Linked DNA regions of Callithrix jacchus. The protein of the gene in region 6 interacts with the protein of the main gene of each other region in a pairwise test. Links are inferred from orthologs where the notes say so. Each region holds a gene or a part of one and is shown on either strand. Other genes may lie near its edges.

What was found.
Region 1: the proteins of LNX1 (region 6) and CA8 interact in binary tests that used the Homo sapiens proteins (3 or more experiments, as listed by UniProt). The two-hybrid records come from large-scale screens. The link is inferred for Callithrix jacchus from reciprocal best matches to the Homo sapiens genes LNX1 and CA8.
Region 2: the proteins of LNX1 (region 6) and BLVRA interact in a two-hybrid assay, tested with the Homo sapiens proteins (3 studies listed by BioGRID and IntAct). The link is inferred for Callithrix jacchus from reciprocal best matches to the Homo sapiens genes LNX1 and BLVRA.
Region 3: the proteins of LNX1 (region 6) and DDX17 interact in binary tests that used the Homo sapiens proteins (3 or more experiments, as listed by UniProt). The two-hybrid records come from large-scale screens. The link is inferred for Callithrix jacchus from reciprocal best matches to the Homo sapiens genes LNX1 and DDX17.
Region 4: the proteins of LNX1 (region 6) and EIF4H interact in binary tests that used the Homo sapiens proteins (3 or more experiments, as listed by UniProt). The two-hybrid records come from large-scale screens. The link is inferred for Callithrix jacchus from reciprocal best matches to the Homo sapiens genes LNX1 and EIF4H.
Region 5: the proteins of LNX1 (region 6) and CCDC102B interact in binary tests that used the Homo sapiens proteins (3 or more experiments, as listed by UniProt). The link is inferred for Callithrix jacchus from reciprocal best matches to the Homo sapiens genes LNX1 and CCDC102B.
Region 7: the proteins of LNX1 (region 6) and DVL3 interact in a two-hybrid assay, tested with the Homo sapiens proteins (2 studies listed by BioGRID and IntAct). The link is inferred for Callithrix jacchus from reciprocal best matches to the Homo sapiens genes LNX1 and DVL3.

What each region holds. Positions count from the first base shown.
Region 1 is NC_133517.1:16,345,449-16,348,948, forward strand, and holds part of CA8 (carbonic anhydrase-related protein), read right to left. Parts: intron 2,891-3,500; coding exon 2,756-2,890; 3' UTR 2,721-2,755; intron 1-2,720. UniProt on the Homo sapiens protein: Does not have a carbonic anhydrase catalytic activity.
Region 2 is NC_133512.1:11,962,705-11,966,916, reverse strand, and holds the start of BLVRA (biliverdin reductase A), read right to left. Parts: upstream 2,801-4,212; 5' UTR 2,733-2,800; intron 1,849-2,732; exon of another isoform or gene 1,775-1,848; intron 1-1,774. UniProt on the Homo sapiens protein: Reduces the gamma-methene bridge of the open tetrapyrrole, biliverdin IXalpha, to bilirubin with the concomitant oxidation of a NADH or NADPH cofactor. Does not reduce bilirubin IXbeta.
Region 3 is NC_133502.1:209,415,800-209,419,299, reverse strand, and holds part of DDX17 (putative ATP-dependent RNA helicase DDX17), read left to right. Parts: intron 1-2,600; coding exon 2,601-2,751; intron 2,752-3,500. UniProt on the Homo sapiens protein: As an RNA helicase, unwinds RNA and alters RNA structures through ATP binding and hydrolysis.
Region 4 is NC_133503.1:9,567,411-9,571,388, forward strand, and holds the start of EIF4H (eukaryotic translation initiation factor 4H), read right to left. Parts: upstream 2,801-3,978; 5' UTR 2,776-2,800; coding exon 2,717-2,775; intron 1-2,716. UniProt on the Homo sapiens protein: Stimulates the RNA helicase activity of EIF4A in the translation initiation complex. Binds weakly mRNA.
Region 5 is NC_133514.1:111,379,753-111,383,954, reverse strand, and holds the start of CCDC102B (coiled-coil domain-containing protein 102B), read right to left. Parts: upstream 2,801-4,202; 5' UTR 2,725-2,800; exon of another isoform or gene 2,444-2,724; intron 2,297-2,443; 5' UTR 2,171-2,296; coding exon 2,153-2,170; intron 1-2,152. Other genes in the region: protein disulfide-isomerase TMX3, read left to right, coding at 4,192-4,198. UniProt on the Homo sapiens protein: During interphase, forms fibers at the proximal ends of centrioles to maintain centrosome cohesion. During mitosis, dissociates from the centrosome following phosphorylation to allow centrosome separation. Contributes to CROCC/rootletin filament formation.
Region 6 is NC_133504.1:143,048,458-143,052,563, reverse strand, and holds the start of LNX1 (E3 ubiquitin-protein ligase LNX), read right to left. Parts: upstream 2,801-4,106; 5' UTR 2,497-2,800; intron 1-2,496.
Region 7 is NC_133516.1:13,150,531-13,154,030, reverse strand, and holds part of DVL3 (segment polarity protein dishevelled homolog DVL-3), read right to left. Parts: intron 3,483-3,500; coding exon 3,413-3,482; intron 2,777-3,412; coding exon 2,637-2,776; intron 2,458-2,636; coding exon 2,381-2,457; intron 2,295-2,380; coding exon 2,227-2,294; intron 2,080-2,226; coding exon 1,930-2,079; intron 1,323-1,929; coding exon 1,191-1,322; intron 1,019-1,190; coding exon 851-1,018; intron 1-850. UniProt on the Homo sapiens protein: Involved in the signal transduction pathway mediated by multiple Wnt genes.

The DNA.
Region 1 (3,500 bases), on a different chromosome or scaffold from region 6:
CTCCTAGCTCCTGCCCCATTCATCATTAAATGATAAGAGCAAGTCATGGGTACACAGCAGCTCTAAATCACACCTCCTTCTTTCTTCCTTCCCATTGCAGTACAAAGAGTACCAATCCTCTAGCAAAAGCCAGTCTCCCTGTGTGCTTAGAATTTCATCCCTTTCAACTTCTTAGACTTCACTGCTCCAGCTCCTCCCAGAAGCAGCACCTTCAGCCTCTCTCCATCTATTTGCTCCTTCCCCACACCCTAGTACATAGACAAGTTAAAAATCTGGAGACAGCAGATGCTGGAGAGGATGTGGAGAAATAGGAACACTTTTACACTATTGATGGGAGTGTAAATTAGTTCAACCATTGTGGAAGACAGTGGTGATTCCTCAAGGATATAGAAATAGAAATTCCATTTGACCCAGCAATCCCATTACTGGGTATATACCCAAAAGATTATAAATCGTTCTGTTATAAAGGCACATGCACACATATGTTCACTGAGGCACTGTTTACAATAACAAAGACCTGGAACCAACCCAAATGTCTGTGAGTGATAGACTGGACAAAGAAAATGTGGCACATATACACCATGGAATACTATGCAGCCATAAAAAATGATGAGTTTGTGTCCTTTGTAGGGACATGGATGAATCTGGAAACCATCATTCTCAGCAAACTGACACAAGAACAGAAAACCAAACACCACATGTGCTCACCCATAGGCAGGTATTGTACAATGAGAACATATGGGCACAGGGAAGGCAACATAACACACTGGGGTCTGTTGGGAAGGGGGGACAGCGGGGGGTGGGGAGGTTGGGGAGGGATAACACTGGGAGAAATGCCTGATGCAGGTGATGAGGGGAATGGAGACAGCAAACCACCATGGCATGTGGGTACCTATGCAACAATCCTGTAAGATCTGCACATGTACCCCAGAACTTAATGTACAATTAAAAAAAAAAGATAGGAAAAAAATTCCTCAATCCCACCCCCTCTCTGTTGCTGAGGCCTCCTGCCCCACCCCAGTCCAGCCCACCAAGGTGGCTGTGACCTGGAGTCTCCAGCTCCTGCCTTCCTGTGGTCTTCCGCCTGCTGCAACTGCGTCCCTCCTTGATGTACCACTCAACCGCCAGTGTAGCGACTCTCTTTAACCTCTGCCCGTATCATGGTAAAGAAAAAGAGCTCTGCCAGTCAAGCTGCCTGGATCTTTCAGCTCTGCTGCTAAGTAACTGCATTACTTTGGGCGCGACCTAACTTATCTGTGTCTTGCCTAACTTGTGTGTAAAACCTCCCACAAGATTTCATGCACACTTGGTGAAGTCAGAACATTATATGAACATGTACATATACAATATCTATGTCCAATACTCCCATATTTCAGCCCATCCTGTTTTCTGATCTCCACTCTTGAAATTCTAATGACCTTCAGGACCACAGGAGTTTGTGGTTGACAGGCATCTCTCACTCACTGTGCTACAGCTCAACGCTTTATCTTCAACCAAACAGGGCCTCCCCGCAGCCTTCCTACTGCCACTCAGTGGCACTCCATCTAGGGTTTCCAAAGTGTAAATCCCCAGAAGTTATCTTTGACACTTCCATCTCCCTCTACCCCTCATCCAGTTCATCATTAGCTATAACCTGCAATTTCTATTTCATATACATCAGCTTCTCTCCACCTCCACTGCTCCTATTCTAGCGTCCAAGCCTCCATGTCTATCACTTTGGTTACCCAGCAGACTTCGTTTTTCTGTTTTGTTTTATTTTGTTTGAGACAGGGTCTGACTGTCACCCAGGCTGGAGTGCAGTGGTGCAATTTCAGCTGACTGCACCCTCTACCTTCTGGGCTCAAGTGATCCTCCCATCTCAGCCTCCTGAATAGCTGGGACTACAAGTGGCGGCCACCATGCCCAGCTAATTTTTAAATTGCCTACAAAGAAGAGATTTCACTGCTTCCCTAGGATCTATTCCAACAGATGCTTTCCCCTTGGGAAGCTGTGGTTTGCCAGTGATGTACAATGACCTATGCACTCTTTGGAGACTAACAAGGTAAAGAAATAATCCAATATATAGTCGTTTTTATATTTTATCTCTTCCATGTTTGTGATATTTTATTTTGTTAGATCCTTAAAAGTAAGAAATACATACAGTGAATTCAATATATTAAAATACATAATGTTTCACCATATTCAGATAATTAATAAGTGCTTCTCACTTTATCAAATAAATAGCACTTCCATAGAACAAGTATTTCAGTGCATGCCAGATAGGCTCCCTACCCTGAGAAATAAGAGAATCAATTCTGCAGAAGACAAGTACGGTCCACAGTGAGACTCTCATGCTCCCCAAGCCCCTTCCTGTGTGCTCCTTGGTCACTGGGACATGACTAGTGCTGCTTCAAGGGGAAAACATGGTAAGTTACTAAAGAGGTCCTTGCACGTCACTTTTTCGGGGCCGCAGGGTGTCTTTCCTTATGAAAGCCAGCAAAATTTGGAATTTAGGGCTACTCTGATAGGAAAATATAATCATAGTTTTTCTTTAATACTGCATAAAATTAAAATAACTACCTGACCTATAATTAACAGAGCTCAAGAATGTGTCATAAATTTTATCAAGATGAAGTACATATGCTTAATTACTAAATTACCAGGATCACCATAAGTGCACCTTTGGTATGCTAGGTTTAAGTAGCTGGGCACCTCATTTTCCTTACATAATCTGGACATACCCTCATGAAGATAGACTTGTTTCTGTCCTCTTTGGCTACTGAAATGCAGCTCTAATGACTCTGTCACTAAGAGGCTGAGTGGGTCGAAAGTTGTCTCCCAAAATCCCATCACAGCCTTCCACAAGTTCTGCCCCCTTAACATGCGTCCTCAGCCTTCGAAATTCTTCTATCTGAAAACAAAAGCAGAAGAAAATAGATTAATACATTAAAAAGATTGGAGTTTCATAAAGGACATGCATAAAATATGCATAAATTACAATTTAAAAAGAGAAAATTAAAATTAAGTTTCAAAAAGAAAAGAAGCAGACTTCATTCTTCCAGACCTAAGACATTAGGCAGGACACTTTCGAGAGATGACAACAGAAGCAGACATATCAAGGTCTCTGAACAACTCGAACAGACACAGAAATCTGCTGCATTTGTTAATGTAAAAATGATACACACCTCTCTCAAAAACGTCCTATGCCTATCTAAAACATAGTAAGAGTGAACAAATGACTGTGTTCTTAAATGCTTCCCAAGTATATTTTAATTAACAGATTCTTATGTTACTGTATGCAAACACTGATTAGATCTTAGATTTATTAGATGGATTCAAGGTGTCCTTTTATCAAAAGACTTTTGCCCCTTTTTCAGCCCTCTAGAGAGCATGGGTCTAAAAAATATCTATGATTTTCCAAAAGTCTGAGTCCAATTTCCAGTCTTCACAATACTGATTTTCAAGTTCATTTCCCCTTCTTGGGTGGCCTCTCCAGGTCCCATGGCTTCCCCACTATAACT
Region 2 (4,212 bases), on a different chromosome or scaffold from region 6:
GGCAACAAGAGCAAGACTCTGTCTCCAGAAAAAAAAAAAAAAAAAAAAAAATATATATATATATATATATATATATATAAATAATATTATATAATTATATATAATACATATAATTATATTTTATATATATAATATTATATATATATATTTTTCTCATTCTGATTCCTCGGCTTTCTGAGTAGCTGGGGTTACAGGCAAGCACCACCATACCCAGCTAATTTATATATTTATTTTATTATATATATATATTTATATATATTATATATTTATTTTATATATATATTGAATATATATATATCTAGAACATATTAAAGGTTATTTCTTTTTCTTGCATTTCCAGAAAAGCCTCCTAAAAAATATATATGTAAAATATATAATATATATAACTATGTATATAAAATTAATATATAATATATACAAATATATATATAAAATAAAATAAATATATAAACTAGCTGGGTATGGTGGTGCTTGCCTATAACCCCAACTACTCAGGAAGCTGAGGAATGAGAATCACTTGAACCCAGGAGACAGAGGTTGCAGTGAGCCAAGATGGTGTTGCTGTGCTCCAGTCTGAACCACATAGGAGACTCTGTGCCAACAAAATAGGACTCCTTTGGGAGGCCGAGGTGGGTAGATCACAAGGTCAGGAGTTTGAGACCAGATTGGCCAACATAGTGAAACCACATCTCTACTAAAAAAATACAAAAATTATCCAGGCACGGTGGCGTGGACCTGTAATCCCAGCTACTCAGGAGGCTGAGGTGGGAGAATTGCTTGAACCAGGGAGGCGGAGGTTACAGTGAGCCAAGATCACACCACTGCACTCCAGTTTGGGTGACAGAGCAAGACTCTGCCTCAAAAAAAAAAAAAAAAGACTCAAGAGAACATTGTCAGGAACTAAGCTCCCCTGTCCAAAGGCACTATATTCAGTATTTTAAAAAAATAAACAAAAATGTATATACTGTCCATTAATGAAAAGTTTTACTATTTGATTAAAGCTTAATTTGAAGCTGAGTAATGAAATGTCTTTTTCAAATGCCAAAATATATGGCTATCAACTTATTTCTAAATCTTATATGATTTATGACAAAAAAACAAATGCCCCAATCTGTTACCACTGATACATATATGCGATCATGTAATCAGAGTCCTGGATACGCCAAGGAGAATCAGGAATAAAAATGCTGCCGTGGCTCCTACACTGTGATTCCCTGCCAGCCCACGGCACTGGTGGAGTGTCACCTCTACGCAGAAGCCCATGCAAGTCTGAGTATTTTACCAGATTTTCAGTTCTGTAAAAAATGACTGGGAGTAGTAAGCAGTGTAGATCAAAGAGTAAATACAATGAGAACAGAGATGAAAATTAATAAATGTGGCCCAAAGTGGCAGATCTTTGACTCTACTCAGATGCTAACTGGGTAGGCAGCGGGTACAGAGAATAAAAAAGTAAAGATCACATATGAAATGTGGGAAAACACACTGAGAATTATTCCTAAAAGTTCAAGTATAATTAGGGCGCCTTTCGTAAATTTTAGCTCTCTGGCTACACAATCTGCCTTATGATACTGTCTAATATTTGACTTAAGTTTGTGATTTATGGAATGCATAACGTTAAGGGAAGGATGAGCATATTTATCAATACAATCTTTTGGGAAATAATTAGCAATATACCAATACCTTTATTTCCATAATTTAAATAACTTCTTGGAAATCGTATTATAGGACCTACATTAATGATGGAAAATCTTCAGCAGTGTTGCTTGCTTTGTAGGTGGTGATTATGACTGCTACCATTTACTGAATCCTTCCCATGCTGAAAACCCTACTGTAAGCTATTTATGCTCGGTAAGTCATTTATTCTTCAGGGCCATTTAACCAAGTAAGCATTATGATTATCCCCACTTTTACAGGTGAGAAAACTGAGGCACCAAGATTAGATCGCACAGCGGTATAACAGGATGGAAAACTCCTATCATTTAACGAGCGTTAAGTGAAAAAAATTAGTATCCAAAACTGTAACTCTGATGCTGCAAATCCTTTTTATCATTTAAGTAGCTGTGAGGGTTGGGGTTAGGGTTCGGGTTAATACCCTAACCTAATTATTAGCCCTGTTTCTGAGTACTTCATATGTAGAGTGCACTTTACAGAACACTGTCATGTAATCCTCAAACCATGTAATCAATCAATGTAAATGAATTGATAAGTTTCCAGTTTCCAAAGACGAAAGCGGAGATAGGAGAGGCCAAGTGCCTGCGCCGCGCCAGGTTCGTCCCCGCGGAGCGGACCTCAGGGCGTCCCGGGCAGGTCCCGGCCGAGCTCGCGGCTCCGCGGTGGCGACGCCCGGGCCCAGCCGCTCGAGCTCCCGGAGCCGCCGGACTACGCGGCACGCCGGACGCCGAGCCTGCTCGCCCGGGTCTACATAAAAACCGAAGCCACGGGCAATCTCAACAGACACGGAGACTTAATTTTTTAGACCGTCTTTTGTGTATTTGAGAAAACCCCTCGTCGGGATCCGGGCCGCGGGGCCTCTGACCGCGTCCTCGCGCCGGGCCCGGGCGGGGCCGGGCGGGGCGGGGCAGGCGGCGCCCAGGCTGCGTCCCGGCTCTCGCAGTAGCGGGCCCGGGCCTCCCGCGGGCCTGGGGCTTCGAGCTCAGGCCGAGCGCTCTATGGAAGCCGCGCTCGACCCCCGCTCCCCCGCGTGCGACCCCCGTTCCTCGCGCGCGCCTCACCTGACCCGTGTACCGCTCTCCGTGCAGCCTTCGGGCGCCGCCGGCTTTGCGGACCGGGGCGGGATCCCAGCTCCGATTGGCTGCCCGGCTGGGTGGCGGGGACCGGGAGGGGACGGGAGGTGGAGGGGAAGAGTGAGGACGGGAAGGGGAGGGAGGGGCCCGGCCTCGCGCGGTCGCGCGTGAGAAGCCGGCCTCTGCGCCCTGGGCCTGGCGCCTGGGGCCGTGAGAACTGCCCGTGCGCCTGCCCTGTTCTCTGCACCCAGCTTGGTGGCGAGGGTGGGTGGTAGGTGCTCGCCGATCGGAGGGCGTAAGAAGTGGCCGAGCCCCTCACGGTGTGCCTGGCCCCAGCGTGGGGGTGTCGCATCCCTCTTACCCGGCCCCCACTCACCACGTAGAACCCACTGGGTCCCTTTGGTATTAGTGGCCCCGGCCCGACTGAACCGGCGCCGAGGCTTCCTTGAGTTCTTCGTGTAATTCTGAGAGCGGAGTGAATATCCAGGAGGCCGGTGTCCTGCTCTTGGGTAGCTAGGAAGTGAACGGTGTCCTAGGGAACTGCCTGGGCTCTTATCCACCTGGGAATGGGCTTGTTGGGGATCCTGACGTGGTAAAAGCCAGGGAGCTTCTAGCCTAGCAGGGCTGGGGGAGAAACTAGGTAGAGAGGTGGGTTAGGCTGAAGAACAGAGATCTCTTTGATCTTAAAAGCAGCGTTCTGACTGGTAGGGCTGACCGGCATTTCGCCCTCCAAAAACGTTCTTGTACTTTATTCCGTGACCTGACAAGCCTGCTTAAGTGAGGTTTTGTTGGGTGCCAAGAGAGAAAGGTTTGGCTTTGAATTCATCTCCAGGCGGGGCCTGTCTCCTGAACTCCATACTTCCCTATCCAGCTGCCTAGGTAATACCTCCTCTTGGATCTCTACAATAAATTTCAATCTCAACACATCCCAATCTGTGCCCTTGATGTCTTCCCCATAGCATCACCATCTCAATGGCGTTAAGGACAGAAACCAGGTGTTAAGGACAGAAACCTTGCTGTTACCCGGCACTCAGCTTTCTCTCACATTTCACCTCCAGGGCCCAAAAATTCTGTTGGTTGGACCTCCCTAGCATACTCAGAGCCCGACCACTTCTTACCTCTGCCTCCATCATCTCCCACCTTGGTCACGACAGTGGTCTCTTCCCCGATCTCCCTGCAGTCTGTCCCTATACAGCAGCCATAGTGACCCTAAAGAAAGCCAAATCCAATTCCTCTTCTGCTCGAAACCTTCCCAGGGGTTTCCCAAACTCAGAGTAAAAGCCAAAGCCCTTCACGATTGCCCCTCTGTTACCTCTGCAGCCTCATCTGCTACTGCCTCCCCACTGCCTCACTCTGCTCCAGTCACTCTGGCCTCTGTGCTATTTCTTTTTTCTTTGGAGACGGAGTCTCGCTCTACTGCCCATGGTGGAGTGCAGTGGCACGACCTTGGCTCGCTGCAACCTCCACC
Region 3 (3,500 bases), on a different chromosome or scaffold from region 6:
TCAAGTTAAGCTGTTAATTGCTGACTGGATAAAAACATTTCAGGAGCATACTATACCAGAGTACGATGTGTATATTTAAAGATATGGATATGCTCAAAAGTAAAAGATTTTCTTCAATTTTGAGGTCATTAATTATGTCAGCATTAATTATAAACATGGAAGACAGCATATTTTCCAAGAACTCCATGTTTCAAATTAGATATATAGTGTAGGGTAGTATATCTTAAATAGCCAGAGAAATATGGAGAGAGGAAAAAATACATAAATGGTAATGAGGTTATGATTAGTTTAAAGCGTTACCAGGAACATCACTTTCAAAAGTTTTATTTTTTCGTAGATTATTGAGGTTTGGGTATTGCAATGCAGCAGTAACAATGGAATATTTTATAATTTGCGAGAGTGGTAATCCAAGGACTTGGTACTTCTTGAAAAGTGCCTTATTTAGCTGCTTCATTTGCAAGTGTAGGGGGTGGCAATTGAGGTGGCCTTTTGGTCTGTTCACTATTGCACTATTGAGCCTTAAGCCGAGGAGTACATTAAAGATGTTGTTGACATGTGTATGCCAATGCTATGTGCTCTTCCTGTTTTGATTCTTAATTTGTCTTACTGCCTCAGCAGTGGTATAAAGAATTAGCCACGTTCTACCTGTTGAATGTAGGTATCCAGTGATCCCAATAAAATTTTCCTGTCATCAATTTTTGTTATATTTGTGTTTAGAGGAATATATAGCTGGTTAAGCCAGAGTTCTAATGCTTTGAATTGCAGGAAATTGAGGCCCTATAGAATAATACACCTGCTGCCTGTCAGTTATAAAGTGAAACTTTATATAAGATGATGTTATGGCCAGGCACGGTGACTCATGCCTGTAATCCCAGCACTTTGGTTTTGGGAGGCCGAGGTGGACAGATCATGATGTCAGGAGTTTTTGAGACCAGCCTGGTGAACATGGTAAAAACCCATCTCTACTAAAAAAAAGAAAACAAACAAAAACTAGCTGGGCGTGGTGGTGCACACCTGTAATCCCAGCTAATCTGGAGGCTGAGGCAGGAGAATTGCTTAAACCCTGGGGGGCGGAGGTTGCAGTGAGCTGAGATTGTGCCACAGCACTCCAGCCTGGGTGACGGAGTGAGCCTCTGTCTTGGGGTGGGGAGATGATGGTACAAGTGGGTTAGAGTGGGAAAAGGAACCTAAATTAAGTACAGTATATTACAATGAGTAAAGAAGTTGTCAGTGAAAAAAATGCTGTACAGTTCGTGTGCCAGACACAGCCCTGCACTTCACAAGATTGAAATAGGGAAGATGAAGGCCATGTTAAGATATTTCTAGGAAAAGTAGCTTCTGATTTGTTAAATTTTAGCTTAGGCTAGTGGTCATATTTGTATTCCCCTTGAGCTTGTTTGTTGTGAAAGGTATGTAAAAAGCAGGAAGTTGATCTCAAGTAATTAGTTGACTTTTAAAACCTTAAATAAGTCTTGTTAGTGGCTTTTCTGTCCATTAATAATACCGTTTGGGAACAAGGAGGAGATACAAGGTAAAAGAGACGAAGAAGGAGAGGTCATAAATGTATGTTCAGCTTTTTTTTTTTTTGGAGATGGAGTCACCCTCTGTCTCCCAGACTGGAGTGCAGTGGTGTGGTCTCAGCTTACTGCAACCTCTGCCACCCTGGTTCCAGCTGTTCTCCGGCCTCAGCCTCCCAAGTAACTGGGATTACAGGCGTGCACCACCACTGTTTAGTAGAGACAGGGTTTCTCCATGTTGGCCAGGCTGATCAGAACTCCTGACCTCAAGTGATCTGTCTGCCTCGGCTTCCCAAAGTGCTGGGATTGTGAGCCACTGAACGTGGCTTGTTCAGCTCTTTTATTAGAATAAGCTAAAAATGAAGACCGGTCTACGAGGAGTGCTCGTCACAGTTTAAAGGGGGAAGGGCCCAAGAAGACTGAGGGACATGCTTGGAGTGTATTTTCTTCCTTGTCCACAATCTTGCCTTTAACTGAAACTGAAACTAATGTCATCCTTTGCCTGCCTCTCTGTTACACAAGAGTAGAGACTTGTTTCTGTTTTATTTACTTTAGTAACTCCAGCACGGCACCACTTCAAATAGTAACTGATACATAGTTGGTACCTAATAACTATTTGTTGACTGGAATGATGCTTGCTTGTACTGAGTGCTTGTTATGCCAGTTACTTTTATAGCACATTACACATTATTAGATCTTTTTCTCAGCAGCCTCTGAAATAGGTGGTATTATTTCTAACTTGCATAGGAAACTGAGGTGTGTAGAAGTTAAATAATTAAATTATACAGTAAGTGGCAGAATCAAAACTCAAACCATGTCTGGTTCCAGAATCTGTGATTGTAATCCTTAGTATGTATACAGGAATTTTTTATTTTTCACCTATTATAGCCATACTCATAAACAGTTACTCTTGTTGGGTAGTAAAGGAAGTTTTACACACTTCTCCATACCTTTAAATAGGAGTGAATAACATGGTCTTTTGGAGGTAGGCTGGTAGTAGTCTATCTTGTTTGAATCTTTTTATGGTGTGTAAGATATATTACTTCAAAAATACTGATGAACTAAAAATTCTGATGTTCCTAGATTTGGAGCAAGAGGTGGTGGTGGCCTCCCCCCGAAGAAATTTGGTAATCCTGGGGAGCGTTTGCGTAAAAAAAAGTGGGATTTGAGCGAGCTCCCCAAGTTTGAGAAAAATTTTTATGTGGAACATCCGGAAGTAGCAAGGCTGACTCCAGTAAGTTTGTGTGTGTGTGTTTTAATGTACAGATTATTGAACCAGTAGACATAGTGGTTAGAGTTTATTCATACACTAATGTTGCTGTTTTACATTTTATTCTAGTGTGGTGATATTTTTAAAAAAATTTTTTTTCTTAATCACCTCCCCTTCCCCTCCCCCCCAGAGACTGGGTTTTGCCACGTTGCCCAGGCTAGTTTCAAACTCCCTAGCTTGAGCAATCTACCCGCTTTGGCTTCCCAGAGTACTGGAATTAGAGGTGTGAGCCACTACACCCAGCTGATATTTTTCTTATATTCTTAACTAAGATCAGTAATCCTCATAAAAGGGGGCCAGTTTAAATATGCATTTAATTTGTTATTTGTTGATAATGCTTCCTAATCTATTTATTATACCTGATTGAAACTATTATATATTAGGTCATGTCTTTTCAACTGTCAGTGAAAAAAATATATTGGTGTTGTCTTTTTTTTTTTTTTTTTTGAAATGAGGTCTTGCTCTGTCCCCCAGGGTAGAGTGTTGTGGCGTGACCTTGGCTCACTGCAACCTCTACGTCCCAAATTTAAGCAATTTTCCCACCTCAGCCTCCTGAGTAGCTGGGATTACAGGCACATGTCACCATGCCCCACTATTTTTTTTTTTTTTTTTTTTTTTTAAGTAGAGCCACTGTGCCCAGCCAAAATTTGTCTGTTGTTGTGCCTCATTATCATTGTTTTGGACTTTACAAATGAAATGGTTACTCTTTCAGA
Region 4 (3,978 bases), on a different chromosome or scaffold from region 6:
AGGAGAACTGCTTAAATCCAGGAGGCAGAGGTTGCAGTGAGTCAAGATCCTGCCACTGCACTCCAGCTTGGGCAATAAGAGTGAAACTCCATCTCAAAACAAACAAAAAAACACATGTATAAATAAATACATAGGCTGGACGCAGTGGCTCACACCTATAATCCCAGCACTTTGGGAGGCCGAGGTGGGTGGATCACAAGGTCATGAGATCAAGACCAACCTGGTCAACAAGGTGAAACCCCGTCTCTACTAAAAATACAAAAATTAGCTGGGCACGGCGGCGCATGCCTGTAGTCCCAGCTACTCGGGAGGCTGAGGCAGGAGAATCGCCTGAACACAGAAGGCAGAGGTTGCAATGAACCAAGGTCGTGCCATTGCACTCCAGCCTAGGTAACAACAGCGAAACTCCGTCTCAAAATAAATAAATAAATAAATAAAAAGTTAAATACATACATACATACATAAATTCACCATTTTTTTTTATGAGACGGAGTTTCGCTCTTGTCACCCAGGCTGGAGTGCAATGAGATGGGGTATCACCTTGTTGACCAGGATGGTCTCGATCTCATGACCTCGTGATCCACCCGCCTCGGCCTCCAAAAGTGCTGGGATTACAGGTGTGAGCCACTGCGCCCGGCCCAAATTCACCAGTTTTTAAAAACTACTTTTAGGAAGCTGAGCAATACTTTATGTACTTTTAGAGGAATATGAAGCCAAACAGAAAATTCCAAGTATGGGCCAGGTGGAGGTGGCTCATGCCTGTAATCCTAGCACTCTGGGAGGCCGAGGTGGGTGATAACAAGGTCAGGAGTTCAAGACCAGCCTGGCCAAGATGGTGAAACCCCATCTCTACTAAAAATACAAAAATCAGCCAGGCGTGGTGGCAGGTGCCTGTAATCCCAGCTACTCAGGAGGCTGAGGCAGAGAATTGCTTGAAACCAGGAGGCAGAGGTTGCAGTGAGCCGAGATCAGGCCAGGCCACTGCACTCCAGCCTGAGAGACAGAATAAGACTCTCAAAAAAAAAAAGAAAATTGCAAGCAAGTCGGTTGGAAGATGCTTAACAGTAAAGAGACTTTCTATTAGGAAGTTTAAGTGAGGCACAGGGTACCTAACTTCTCAGTTTCTGGAGTACGCCTGGGCATGTGGCTGATACTCTCCTTTGCCTGTGGGTATTTGAAATGAATCTTAAGGGAATTTACTTCGGACAGTTCCAGGCACTCCCAGATGTGAAAATTTGACACCAGAAGGTCTGGCAAATGCGTCTAAAGGAAGAATTTTCTTTCAATCCCCACACTCGGTCTAATGAGGCCACCTTATTGCAGGATCAATGCAACTAAAACTTAAATTGACCACTCTCTTTAAGAAGAATTTTCCTGGGTGCTTCTGTGAACGTTTTATGGAAGTGAAAAAAAAAAAACAACAACAACAACAAACAAAGCCTAGTTATTAAATTTCGAAATGACTTAAGAACAAATGTGATGTCTAGAAACCTACCCCAAAGGCGATAATTTTATGTCATCCTAACATTTCCTCTTTTATTAGCAAATAAAATGTTATTTGGAATGCCAAGGAGCTCCTCCCTCCCCGACACTTCCACATTACAGTGTCATGAATGGTATTAGCTACACTCCTGCACCAGAATAAGCTTTTGTTTGAGCCGTTCCCAAACCAAGGTATTAGAAGCGACCATTCTTCACCAAACAAAGATACTTTTGGACTGCAGCCCAGGAGCCTGAACACCTCAGTGTGTACTAACTATTGTGGTGTTATCCTGGGAAAGCAACCCCGTCTGCGAGAAAACACAAACAGCCTTGTCCTTGACAAACAGCAGTGTGTTCGCAGCCTAAAATCTAAAGAGGCAACTATTAAAAAAAATTAAAAGTGCAGAATCCTGGAACTAAACACCACGAGCTCTCTATTCAAAGACGTTTCTTTTAAACAAGGTGTTTCAGTTACACATAGCCGTCTGCATTTGACAACAATCAGGACGAGGCTAAATGCGGTTCCTTCTCCAGGTAAGAGCGAGAAACCAGAGGGAAATAAAATTGTGCCAAAGAGCACGTAGCACCTGTCAAGGCACTGTGACCCAAGAAAGATGAACACAAAGAAGCCGCGATGGATTTGGTTATCCTTGGTCTCTCCCCGCCCGCAGGGAGTCCTACCAGCCCCAGGCCAGAGCCGCCAAATCCCGGCCTCACAAGTAAGGGGAAGGGAATCGCCCCTCTCGCCTTCCGACTTTCCCCAGGCGGCCGGCCTCATGGCAAAGCGGCCAAGGGCCTGCAGAGCCGGCAGACAACGGAGGTCCGCAGAAGAGGCCAGGACAGGAGCCGGGAAGGCCGTGTGGCCCGCACCTCGGCGCCGCAGCTCAGCCCCGCGCTGGTCCTGCCGTAGCGGGGATGGGGCTGGAACCCGGCGCTCATCTCCGGGCACTCTGCGCCGCCGCGGCCGAGGCAGGGCAAAACCCTACACGTTGTCGTTGGCGGGAAGCGGTGGAAGGGATCCACCCCGCGAGCAAGACCCCCGGAGCCCAACCGCCGCCGCCCCCTCTTCGAGCGCGCCATTTCCAGGCCCTGGCCCTCCAGGCGCCGCTCCTAGGCCTCCGCGGGTCCTCGCCTCGGGAAGCCCCGGGTGAGCGCAGGACGGCTGCCTCCTCTGACAACCCCGACCCCGCCGGATCCCCCAGCCCACGCCGGAGCCCGCGCACGCCCGCCTCACCCTCTGCCGCCGCCGAAGCTGCTGTAGGCCCGATCGTCGTAGGTATCGAAGTCCGCCATTTGCCGTCTCGCTCCGAGAGGAACCAGGGTGAGCGAGGAAGGACCCCGCAATATAACTCCCCCCGCCCCGCCGCCGGGGCTGTCCGCCGCGCCGCCTGATCGCAAATCGCTCGGACGCGCGCACGCACGGACGCTCGCCGCGCCGCGCCGCGCCGCGCCGGGCCTTGGGCCCACGGGCAGCTGCTGGCTCCGCGCGCTCTGAGGCCCACGTGGTGCGGCGGCGCCCGAGCTGGACGCCTGCTCTGCCAGCGCGGCCCATTATGTGCTGTCCCTGGGGCTGCGCCCGCGGCCGCCTCCTGTCCCCGTCGCGCCCCGCCCTAGCGCGTCAGCCTTCCCCTCCGTCTGCGGGAGGTGGTCGGCAGAGCCGGGCAGGAATTCCCTCTCGGGTTCGCCTGGGACCTTGCCTTTTGGCCTCCAGACCTGGCAGGGACCTGTTCCGCTTGGCCTCGCGAGTGATCCCCTATGACACCCAAGTAAAGGCCACCTCCTCCAGACAGGAACCGGCCACACGAAGAGGATGCCCTGGAAGGGGGTGCAAGGCGATGGGACGCAGATGCGAATCCCGTCTTCCAGGGCTTACTCGCTGCCTGGGTATTGGGGTGTTTTGAGAGGAGATAGGTGGCCTGTGACTTAGCGAGAGAGAGGAAGCACATCTCTGTGTTTTGCAGAAGTCGTTGCCTTGGAAAAAGAGTTGGTTACTGATACGGATTCCATCATCTGGCAATGACAAAACGTAGATACGCAGTGGAAATTAATTACACGGGTAAATTTCCAGGCTGGTGATTGAGATGGTGGTGATTGTGGGTGCCACAATGTTGACAAACCCTAATTATGTAGGCACACTTTAAAAATCTCATAGGCCGGGCGCGGTGGCTCATGCCTGTAATCCCAGCACTTTGGGAGGCCTACGTGGGTGGATCACGAGGTCAGGAGTTGGAGACCAGCGTAGCCAGTATAGTGAAACCCCATCTCTACGAAAAATACAAAAAATAGCTGGGCGTGGTGGCGCGTGCCTGTAATCCCAGCTACTCAGGAGGCTGAGGCAGGAGAATTGCCTGAACCCAGGAGACGGAGGTTGCGGTGGGCGGAGATCGCGCCATTGCACTCAAGCCTGGGTAACAAGAGCGAAATTACATCTCGGAAAAAAAAAAAAAAAGAGCCGGGTGGGGTGGTGGGCACCTGTAGTCCCAGCTACTCAGGAGA
Region 5 (4,202 bases), on a different chromosome or scaffold from region 6:
CAACATTTAGTTTATGATTTGCAACCACACAGTTCTCCATACAAAAGTTCATTCATTCTCATTACTATATAGTACTTTACTACAGGATAACAACACAATTTATCTATTCTACTTTTACAGATTTGAATTGTTTAGCTTTTCACAATTGCAAACAGTCCTACCATAAACAAGACACCTGTGTATATGACTTTTGGAAAGCACATGTGTCTTACTTAGCCTGTTGATGCTCTGTAACAAAATAGCACAGACTTGATAAGTTATAAATAATAAACATTTATTTCTTAAAGTTCTGGAGGCTGCACATCAAGGAGTCAGCAGGTTTGATGTCTGATAAGGGTTTGCTCTCTGCTTCCAAGGATGGTACCTTCTTCTTGTGTCTTCATATGGCTTAAGGTTGAAGGGGAAAAGGGACTAAGATAATCCCTTTGGTCTCTTTTATTAGGTCTCTAATCACATTCATGAGCGTTCCACCTCATGATTAAATCATGCACAAATGGCCCAATCTCTTAATATTATCATATTGGCAATGAAGTTTCAACATATGCAATTTGCGATACACATTTAGACTACAGCCATATGTAGGCAAAATATATAAGGCATGTATCTGTACAAGTGTAGCTTATCTGAAAGTCTTTTTAAAGATCTTGTCAAAATAGTAGAACCTTTTAAATAACAAAAAAAGTGATCACCACTTGAGGTAGATAAGCAGGAAAAAAACACTTAAATTTTTGAACACTGAATATGTTTTAGCATATGGAAATTTAGCATGTTCTCTGAACAAAAGGCCTAAAAAGTCTATTGGTTTATTAAATCATTTTCACATTAATGCATAATTTTGAACATTTTCACATTGCCTGCAATGAAAATATCATGCAAAGCACATATGTCATTATAAATTTTCTTGGAAACACAGTGAAATATAAAAACAGGTGAAATTAATTCTAATAATTTATTTTATTAACTCAATATATCTAAGATATAGCTAAGCTATAGGCATTACAACATATAATCAATACAAAAATACTGAGACATTTAACAGTTTTATACTGCCTTCCAAATCCAGTGTATATTTTACATTTATACTATACCTCCTTACAACCTCCCTAATTTCATCAGAAATACGTTAATTGGTATTTATTTTATAGAAACATGGTCTAGCTCTGTTGCCAGGCTGGAATGCAGTGGCACAATCACAGCTCACTGCAACCTCAACCTCCCTGGCCCAATTGATCCTCCCACCTCAGCCTCTGGAGTAGTTGGGACCACAGGTGTGTGCCACCACACCTGGCTAATTTTTAAACTTTTTGTACAGACGGGGTCTCACTGTGTTGCCCAAGCTGGTTTCGGATCCCTGACCTCAACCAATCCTCCTGCCTCAGCCTCCCAAAGTGCTGGCAAACAGTTAAGAGCCACCCACACCTGGGAAATGATCAGTTTTTAGATTTCATAAAATTTACAGTTGAAAAAGTAGATTCAAATATCTCAGTTGTTCCAATCATATTAAAAAAACTTTCCAATAACTGAATCGAGTGTCAGTTTTTTTATTTCCTAAAATTAAAATTAAATATTCAGTTACTTCATGACACGGCATGTTTCAAAAGCTCAATAGCCACAGGTGGTTAGTGGCTACACTATTGAAGAGCACAGATCTAGGTTAACTGGTTTTTGTTGTTCTCCACATGCTAACTTAAACTGTAATGCAAATATGCAAAGAAATTATTTTATTTTGCATGCTGTGGAAGACAGAGAACTTTGAAATACATTAGAATGGAAAAACAAACTGAATATGGGTCTTTCAGAGATACTGCCAAGAGAGTAGAAAAGCTTCTGTAGAAGAGTATCAAGTCCATGGTACTATTATAAAGCTGTTTCACCACCATTGAGAGAACATTCCCGTCGCTTCAACAGTCCCCTTATGTTTTAGTCTTTTTCTTTAAAAAAAAAAAAAAAAAAAAAGAAAGGAAGAAAAATTGAATCTGCAGAGGGCTTGCACTGGATACCATGCTGTATGCCCAAAAGGGGTGACATTTAAGGCTTGCTCTCAATTAGAGTGTAATTTAATCTTCTAGTCACTAGGAATAACAATGTTTTAGAACATTTCCGCCTGTTGGAATTTTGAACCTAAGGTGAACCGGCTGACATCATAACTTACCCTTTCTGTTGTTCTCATAGGTTTTCAAAATTTGATCTAAATCCTCTGGTACCTTACGTCCCATAAAAATTTCATCTAATTCAGAAGTAGCGACTGCTGCAGTAACCTCATATAAAAGAAATATGGGTTTTACAAATCATTGTCCTGTAGAAAAAAAAAAACAGGTAGCAATATGAATATTTCATACTATTTTATTTAATTCCAAAGTAATCAGAAAAGTCATAAAAAATCCTAAGCCTAACTTTATGTTCTCAAGTTTCAAGAGAAAGTTTTTAAAGAGGCAATCCTTACTTTGGCAAAAGTGCATTAAAGCTTGCTGCATTTAAGAGATGTCCCTTTATGCAAACAGGTTGAAAGACGATTTCAAAAACGCTTTGGAAAAACACAGAGTGGCGCGCAGCTCAGCAATCCAGTCTTCAGGCGCGCCTCTTTCCACAAATTTGATCCAGCATTAAAACGCACAGGTGCACTCACTGCACGGGAGCAGCAAGCAAATGATGTGCCAATATTCATCCCGTAAGTGCGTCGTGGGAGTCTACCTCGCCTGCAACCTAACTTTCTCCAGTATTCACCTTTCCGGAAACGTGCCCCCGTGAACAACCACCGCTTTCCCGAATAAAGCCCGCACGCTGGGTTCCCACGCTCCTCAGGAGGGGCCGAGGGCGCAAAGGATGCTGAAGCACACGACAGCGCAGACGCTGCCCTCCCGGCGCATGCGCCGCACTCCGCGCATACTCAGAGACGGAGACCGGCGGGGTCCTGGGAGCTTAACGGAGGCCGGCCTGCCCCGCCCCCGTATTCTGAGCGGAGCTTCTCTTCCGCTCTGGGTCAGCTCCGCTTCCCTTTCCTGGCGGGAAGGCAGCGGACACCGGTATCTTTTCTCTCTATTGCACAGAGTCAGCTTCTGCAGCTCTCCCAGGCTAGCATGGCAGCCTGGAGGTGTCGGGCCGCCCTGCGGCTCTGCGCCACAGGTAATGATCGAGCAGAGGTCGCGACGCCGGCAGGCTCTTGGGACCTGGCCCGCCGTGGGGCCGGGATTGGGCCCGGGGCTGAGGCGAGGCCTGTGGGGTCCGCGGAGACGCTCGCACGGTCCCGCAGAGTCCTGCCGCCCCGCCACGCCGACCTGCCTGGCCCTGACGGAGTGGATACCTGGGGGTCTTTCCCTTGCCCCTGTGCGGGGCCAGTGCCGGGCGCGGGAAGGGCGCGCTTCCTTGTGTCTGTGTTTTCTTCATTGTGGCAGGAAGTTTCAATAAAGCTCACTCCTTTGATGGGCAAGAAGGATGCTGCCGTCCCAGCTTAACCGCCAGATCTTGCCTTGGCTTTAGGTTCTGAGTCTTGTCACGTTTAAGGCTTTTTACCACCAGGGCTCAGATCAGGGTCAGGCCACCGGGATTGTGCGGTGTGAAACACTCAGTGTGTGTCCGCTGTTCTCAGCTCCCTCTCTTCAGCCCTGGGTGCCTTCGTTCTCACTGGGGTCCGCTCACTTAGCAACCTTTAAGAGCCCATTCTGTGTCAGGCAATGCCCTGTATTAAGTATTAGAGTTGCAGCTCGACTTTGATTTGTTCTAGCCGTCTATTTCAGGGGAAATATTTTGAATGGCATTTGTAATTTTTACTGAAGAGATCATTGCTACTAAAACAAAAGAAATATAGAGGAATGCTGTCTGCCTGTATTCCAAAAAGACAGGATGGTAAAAAGGAAAAGTAAGGTGAGAGTTAAAATACGTAGGAAAAAGGAACTCTGTGTTTATTAGATTTATGGGCTTACTAGAACCTGGCCGGTCATGATATGGTTGCATACAGACTAGATGTTTATTAAATGGATGAACTACTTCTGCTTTTGCATCATTTGTACCGTGGAATGCATCAGTGATGAATTTTTTGGTAGGTTGCAAAAGGTCAAAAAACACTTCAAAGATGACTAAGCTTATGCAGTATGAGCCAAATAATCAGCATTTATTGTGTACATTTTGTCTTTTTCTTTTCTTCAGTTGTTTTACTTGATATGGTCGTCTGTAAAGGAGCTGTAGAAGATTTAGATGAATCGTGA
Region 6 (4,106 bases):
TAGGATTCCCTTTTGGCATCTCTTCTGTGCCCACCCAGTCTGGGCTAGGTGCCCTCCCCTGGCAGGTTGTGTAGGCTCTCATTGCACTTGTCCACATGGAATTGAAATTTATTGCTTATTTGCTTCCCACAGTGGACTGGGAGTTCCTTGAGGGTAGCAATCAAGATTTAAATCTCTATGTCCCACCCTAGCCAAGCACCTCATACCTCGTAAGCGCTTTGTATCTGTTGTTGAGTAAAATGAATAATGGAGAACCTTGACAAGGACTTGGCAGAGAAGAAAAAGGAGAATTAACTGCCCCAGTAGTGGTTTTTACCCTGGAAATGTTGTTACTACCCTGAGCAGATAGTGAGCAGCTCACATCCATATAGATGAGCAGACCAAGTGGAATAGAATGAATGGCATAAGCCTGACTTCTTTAGGCCTGATGCTGAGGACATGTGCCCTGCCTATACGAAGGAGAAAGCTCTGTTCCCCATCAAAGACAGTGACAACACAGGTACATACACACATGCACAGCGCAGGTCACAGTCTTTAAAAATATTACACGTGGCTGAGCAAAGTAGGCACCTGTGCGGGGTGTGGAGGACATATCGTAGCTCCAGAATTCCAGGAGCCAGCTCAGGGAGGCCCAGAACAAAGCATCAGGGCCTAAGCAGGGTGCGGAGGGCATCTGAATGGGGCAGGGGACACTGGTCATGATGGCAGTTGGTGATATTTGGGGGACCGAACAAATAAACAAATAATATATTAAGGATAATGGGAGCCAGCCTCTGATCAATGTTAATGACGGCAGTTACAAATTCAGAAAGGGAGAAAACTCTGTGGTGTTGGAAGTGTGAATTTATGGTTTTCAATACATATGGATTAATATAGAAATAAATAGATACATAAATAGAGGAGGAAGCTGGGAATCAGAATTAGACCTGTCTAGCTCTTTTCACCATTCTTTACTAAGGCCCTACACATAGGCCCTCTGCTGTGAAACCTCTGCCCCCTTCGCTGTCCCCTAGAACCCCAACTGGAACTCACATAGACTTAGAAGATTCCACCCCCATAGTCTCAGAGCATGCATCACACCACATGGCACTAGTTGCACACAACTAACTCATGAGGTTTTGGTTACATGGAGGGTAGGCCTCCTCTTATCTGTATTCCCTGCATCTCCCTTGGAACCAGGCACATGGCCATCACGATAGTTAGTATTAATATTTACTGTGCACTTATTATGCATCAGCAAAGACTTCACATGCATAATCTCATTTACAGCTGAAGACAACCCTATGAGGGACATATTACCATCATTCCCATTTCACATATTGGCAAGGTGAGGTTAGAGGGGTTAACCGAGGTACGCCAAGATGTAGAGCTAGTGAGAGGTAGAACCAAGAGTCAAGGCCAGACGGTCTAATTCCTCAGACTGTGCTCCTCACCCCTCAGCTCTGCCACCATGGACTAGGTGTAAGTAAATGGTCACTCAACAGATTCCTCCCAGGGACTTGTGTTTCTAAACACTCTCCCTCAATCCAAGTCCACACTTTATGCTGAGCTCGTTTGAAGCTCACCTCTTTAGGGGAGCTCCCCATCCTGGTCTGAACTGCTGCCTCAGTTCTCCTTGGGCACAGGGCTTGCATCGCACCCTGACATATGACCCAGTCAGTGTTGGAGCAGGGAACATAGTTTGTCGACATTTGTTGAACTGAATTCAATGCCCAGGAATGGAAGTAAACAGGGATACATGACAAAGTGGTATATTGTACAGGATACTGTGGTTATCTATTTCTGGATTTTCCAGAAGAGTTCAATTTCTAAAATTCCATCCTCTCATCAGACCATTTGTCAGAATACATGGCCAAGAATGTAGTCTGGAATTTTGTTTAAAGAGTAAGGTCGCCATTCTATAGAAGAGAGGCGGGAGTGGGCACAGGGTGTGCTGCCGGGCACCCCAGCCCGACACACCCGTGGGCAGGTCACAGCTCTCTGAACCTCTTTATCTGTAGGTAAAACTGCAGTGCAATACCTACTCCTACTGCGGAGTGAAATGAAGTCTGTGTGTGATGTGTTTTAAATACTGATGAAGAATAATGTCATGTAAATCCAGTTACTGCTAGTGGGATTCCTCACGGTTTCACTGACCTGTCTGGCAAGTCATTTTCATCTGTGAAAGTAAAGAAGCTTTTAATGAAGACCACTGCAGGAAAATAGGTATAAAGAGAGCAAATGTCCTGAGGTCTTTCTAGTGTTTTGAAAAAGACACCCCTGGATATTTTCCATCTTTTAGACTCTCTTCAATTTGATGCGTGTGTGTGTGTGTGTGTGTGTGTGTGTGTGTGAGAGAGAGAGAGAGAGAGAGAGAGAGAGAGAGAGAGAGAGAGAGAGAGAAAGAGAGAGAGAGAGACAGAGAGAGGGGAGAGTTGGAGGCCGAGTGGGCAGAGGTGGAGTTGTTTTAAAAAACTGCATGAGATTCTAGCTGGTGGAGGGACAAGGCTATCTTACCTTTGCTGTATGAGGTCTCCCAGCTGTGTGAGGTCTCAGGAGATAGTTCTTTTGAGAGCTGAGCTTTTCTGGCTTAGCAGTAGCTCAGAAAACTTTTCTTTCTCTTTCCAGTGTTCTGTGCCCCAGCTGTGTATAAAAACTGCTCCGCCTTTTTCCATGCAGGGGTTAACCAGGGCATCTCCTGCCCCTTCTGCAAGGCTTTGGGTAGAAGAGATCCATAAATCTGACAGCAGCTATGGGGAGATTCAAGGAAGAGCAGTCTCCCGCAGAGCAGCATGCATTACCATCAGTGACAAATCTGTCTGGTTTGGATGGGGCTGAGACACCCCTGAACTTCCTTCTGCTCTTGCCAAAAGTCAAGATCCTTTTGTTCACCTTTAGGGTTGCCAAGTCAGGCCTACCTCTCCCCTAGATGTTGTTTCCTGCGGGCAATGGGAAAATGATCTTGGAGCCAGAGAAGGGAAATCAACAAGGAAATAAACACAGGGTCACCACACCTTCAGGCCATCAGTAGGTCTGGAACATTATCATGCTGGGACCAACTCCTTAATAGGCAGGGGCTGCTGACTGGACAGGCCCTAGAATCCTGGGCATCTTTTATTTTTCAATAAGTAAAGGGGCATGCACCAAAATCAGTATCAGGCAAATAAGTAGTTCTGACTTGTTCTAATACCTTGCCAAAACTTTCAAAGATTTTCCATAGGCAGTATTGCTCATAACTGAACATTGCCTAATGTTTGTAGACAAAAAAAAAGGAATGGGCATGTTTGTGGCTGATACTATTTAAGACTTTTAACTCCAAAGATATAGAATTATTGTTTAAATAAGTATTTCTTCTGCTCATTCTTCAGCATCATCACCATCATCACCATCGTCAGCGGCTGCAACATCTTTGCTAACATTTATTAAGTGCTTACTGTCTACCAGATTCTATAGTAATCACCCGACCTGCATTATTTCATTTAATTCTCAACAGAATCCTATCATTATCACTCCCATTATACAGATAAAGAAACTGAGGATTAGAGAGACTAAGTCATTCCTGCAGAGTGACCCAGCTAATTAAAAATGTAAACATTGTGATTCCAGAAGTGGGCTTTTCTGAGCTTTGCTTTTCCCACCAGTTGACCTAAGCACTAATGTGGGCTGACAGCTCCAGTAAGGACCAAAGATTTTGCTTAAATAAGTGATTAGCTCTGGGTATCAGATTCTAAATAGAAACATAAATAATTAGTGAGTTAAGTAGTCTCCTTCCAGAGATGTGAGTCGAGTCCTTGGTGTTACCTTATGTATATGCATCATGCAAGAAGGACACAGAGAGTTCAGGTACTTGTGGCCCCGTAATCACAGGTGGTGCTACTGGCTGCAGTGCCTTCAGCTCTCCACTGTGACTCTGATTTACAAACAAGGAAGTGCTCTGCAAGTCCCTTGGCCTCTGTGTGCATTTCGGTCATGGCCTGATTGCTACTTTGTCCTTTTGACTTTCAGAGTCAAACTGCTGCAAGTTTCTTTTAATCAATAATCCAGGGAATGAAGGAGGCAAAATGACCAGCCTGGAAACTTCTGCCTGGTGAGATGAAGCCAGCACATGTATTTTTGGTCCTAAGGTC
Region 7 (3,500 bases), on a different chromosome or scaffold from region 6:
CACCCACTAATATTCCTCATCTCATGACTCTGGCGCCCCCAGGGAAATTTCCATTCCTTAAGGGCAAGGCTGCTCCCAATGTTGGAAGTACCTTGAAGAGAGTATAAGGTGACAGTCACCAGGACTCAGTACCTTCCTGGGACACCCTCTGCTCACACACTATTTGTACCAGTTCCCAGAGCTACAAGAGAACAATAATTGCCCTTCAGGCCACCTGCCCTATTAGGGCTCTCCCAGCCCTAAGGAGAGCCAGCCCAGCCTTCCAGGAAAGCAGTCAGGAGACAGAGCTGTGAGGCTGTCTGTGGATGCTGCAGCCGAGCCATCAACCTGTCAAGAGGCCAGCAGCCAGCATGGGGAGTGGTGGTGGAGGAAAGCAGTGGTCTGTGCCAGCTCTTGCCCGAAGAGCTGATGACACCGTGAGCCTCCAGGCTGTTGTCTTGAGGCAAATGACTGCTCCTCAGGGTTACCTAGGCCTCCAGTTCTTCCCTTTGAGCCTGTAACGCCCCTAGCTGAGACTTTGGCCAGTGAGAAGGAAAAGGCCTGTTCTGTCAGTATCCTCCTGAGCTGGGCCTCTGGGAGGTTGTGAGGCTTGAGTAAGATGATGCTTTGGGAACAACCAGCATGGTCAGGCAGAGCAGGCATTTAGAAAATGCCAGGCCCAACAGGGAGATGTGGGCAGGCGAACAGGCTAGACGGGACTCTTCTTCCGCCACAGAACTCCTAGGCCTTGAGTTGGGCCCCTGGCTCTGCTGTCCTCCAATCTGGGTTCCCCAGAGTCTGCTGCCACCTCCCTGGCTACCTCCCCACTCCTAGCCAGGAGATAGGACAAGAAGGTGAGGGAGGCACATACTGCCGCAGAGGTCGCCAAAGATGTAGTAGCACTGCTCGGAGAAGGTGATCTTGTTGACGGTGTGGCGGATGAAGCCAGCTTTCAGCAGGTTGCTGGCATATTTGCGGGCCTCCCTCCGGTCAGTGAAGCCTTCCACATTGTGGTACAGCCAGTCCACCACATCTGAGCCTGGGAGCAAGGCTGCCAGTTGATTGGGGGAGCCCATCTGACTTGGACCCATCTGGCCTCATAGAAGCTATGAGGCTGGGGCTGGTTCCAGCTCAAGGGAAGTCCTGGGTCCCCCAGCCGGCCCTGCCCATCACTCCCACCTTCCCCGCATCCCACCATGGGACTCTCTCACCGATGAAGGCGTTAGGGATGGTAATCTTGAGCCACATGCGGTCACGGACCTCCAACCCTGATTCAGGGGAGGCCATGGCTTTCACGATGGCAGCCATGTCACTGTGGATGGACAGGTGGAAGTCGTCTAGGCCTGGGGGTGGGAGGCAGAATGGTGAGGCAGAAAGGGGCTTTGGAGTTGAGGAAATAAGAGTTTGCATTCTAGCTCTAACACCTAATCGTTTTGGGACCAATGCTGGGAAAATTACTGACTTCTTGGACACTCAGTTTCCTCTTCTATGAAAAAATGGGGATTTTAATATCTACTTTACAAGGCTATTTGAAGAAAGAATTAAATAATGTAAATGCAGGCGCTTGGCCCAGGGTATAATGAACATGCTATGATAATCGAAACGGCTGCCATTTACTGAATGCTTACTTTGTACCACACATTGCAGTGGTGCTTCATTTACATCCTCTCATTAAACCCACAGGAATCTGGTGAAGTTTATGTTGTAAGTCCCATTTTGTAAGAGGAAACTGAGGTCCCCTGGGTGCTCATACAGGTTCAGAAGCAAACACTGTTGAGTGGGGGTTAGAGTGCCCACTGTGGAGGAGTTGCAGCGTGGGGTCGCTGACAGGAGCTGAGTCCCCTCTCCGGCCCTCTCTGACGCTCAAGCAAGAGTCTCTACGTGGACCCTCATCAGTTTGCCCCACCTGGCCCTGTCTGCTGAGCCCAGGAGACAGGGTTGGACACTCACGCTCTGTGTCAGGGATAGAACTGGTGATGGAGGAGCTGGTGGAGGTGATGGTGCTCAGGGAGGGGCTCATGCCGTATGCAGGGAAGGTGCCCGTCATGGCTGCAGTGTGGGAGACCCAGGCCGCAGGGTCAATGGGCCGGATGGGCTCGCCTGCAGGGAGGATGAGGAGTCATGGGCCACCCACCCCACCCACTGCTGGGCCCAACAGGATAGGTGTGGGGATTCTGGGTGACAGAAGAGAGACTGGGCTCATGTATGTAAGCACCAGCGTCAGGACTGAGTCTCCCATCCACTTACTCCTGGGCAACGTGAAGCAACCACGTGGACTTGGGTCCCAGCACTTGGCTACAGTCAGGGTGATGGGCCTGAAAACAAGGGTGTCCTAGTGAAGGCAGGATGATGTGTATAGGCCAGACCACGCCCCTTACCCAGCGCCCCGTTCCATCCATACCCCGGTTTGTGCACGATCTCCCGCAGTACCCGGACTGCGTCGTCATTACTCATGTTCTCAAAGTTGATCTCGTTTACCTGGGAAAGAGGACCCGGAGTGGGACAGGCAGTTGTGTTCGGGAGGATGAAAGGGGAACTCAACTTGGTAGGTCAGGGAGTCTTTCCCCATCCAAGAAGGGGCCTCTGAATGAGGGTGCAGATGGTAGGACACCTCCCTACTCCCTATCCACACCACTACCTAGGGTGGGCACTGATACCTGTAACAGCATATCTCCTGGCTCGATGCGCCCGTCAGCAGCCACGGCCCCGCCCTTCATGATAGAGCCAATGTAGATGCCGCCGTCTCCACGCTCGTTGCTTTGGCCCACAATGGAGATGCCCAAGAAGTTATATTTTTCTGTAGAGAGTAATTTAAGATCTTAGGGGGGAGCAACGTTCCTACCCACGTTCCCAGCCCATTAGGAAATGGAAAGGGACAGGAAATGAACTGACATTTACTGATCCTGAACCAGACACTGCACTTAGCGTGCATGCTCAAACATGCTTCCACGGAATCCTTGCTGGCTGTAAGGTAGGGACTCAGTCCCATTTTATAGAGCAGGCAACTGAGGTTCAGTGAACTTAGAAGATGACTTTTTTAAGCCAGTAAGTGGCAGAGCCAGGACTCAAACTCAGATTGAAATCCCAAAGTTGGGCTCCTTTTATTATATCCAGCTGTCTCTTAAAGAGTACCTAGGCAGAAGTCAGAGAGCAAGGATGCAGTGGCTGAGAGATGCAAAGGAGTGGACACTCAGAAGTCATTTCCTCCAGGAAGCCTTCCCTGATTCCATTTTCTGCTTCTACTACTCTCTGTGCTTATCTCTGTCACAGCCCTGATGTTGAGGTACTAAAATGATCCGTTTATGTATCCGCTGATGTTTAGGAATGAGAACTCCTCGAGGGCAGGGAACAAACTCTGCGCCACTCTGACCTCAAGTCTGCCAAGTGTCTGGCAAAGAGCAGGGGCCTGAGATTGCGGTTTCCTCAGACTCACCCATGTTGAGAGTGACCGTGATGATGTTGAGTGACATGGTGGAGTCCGTGATGCTGCTGAAGGATGAGGACTGGAATAGACAGAGGCC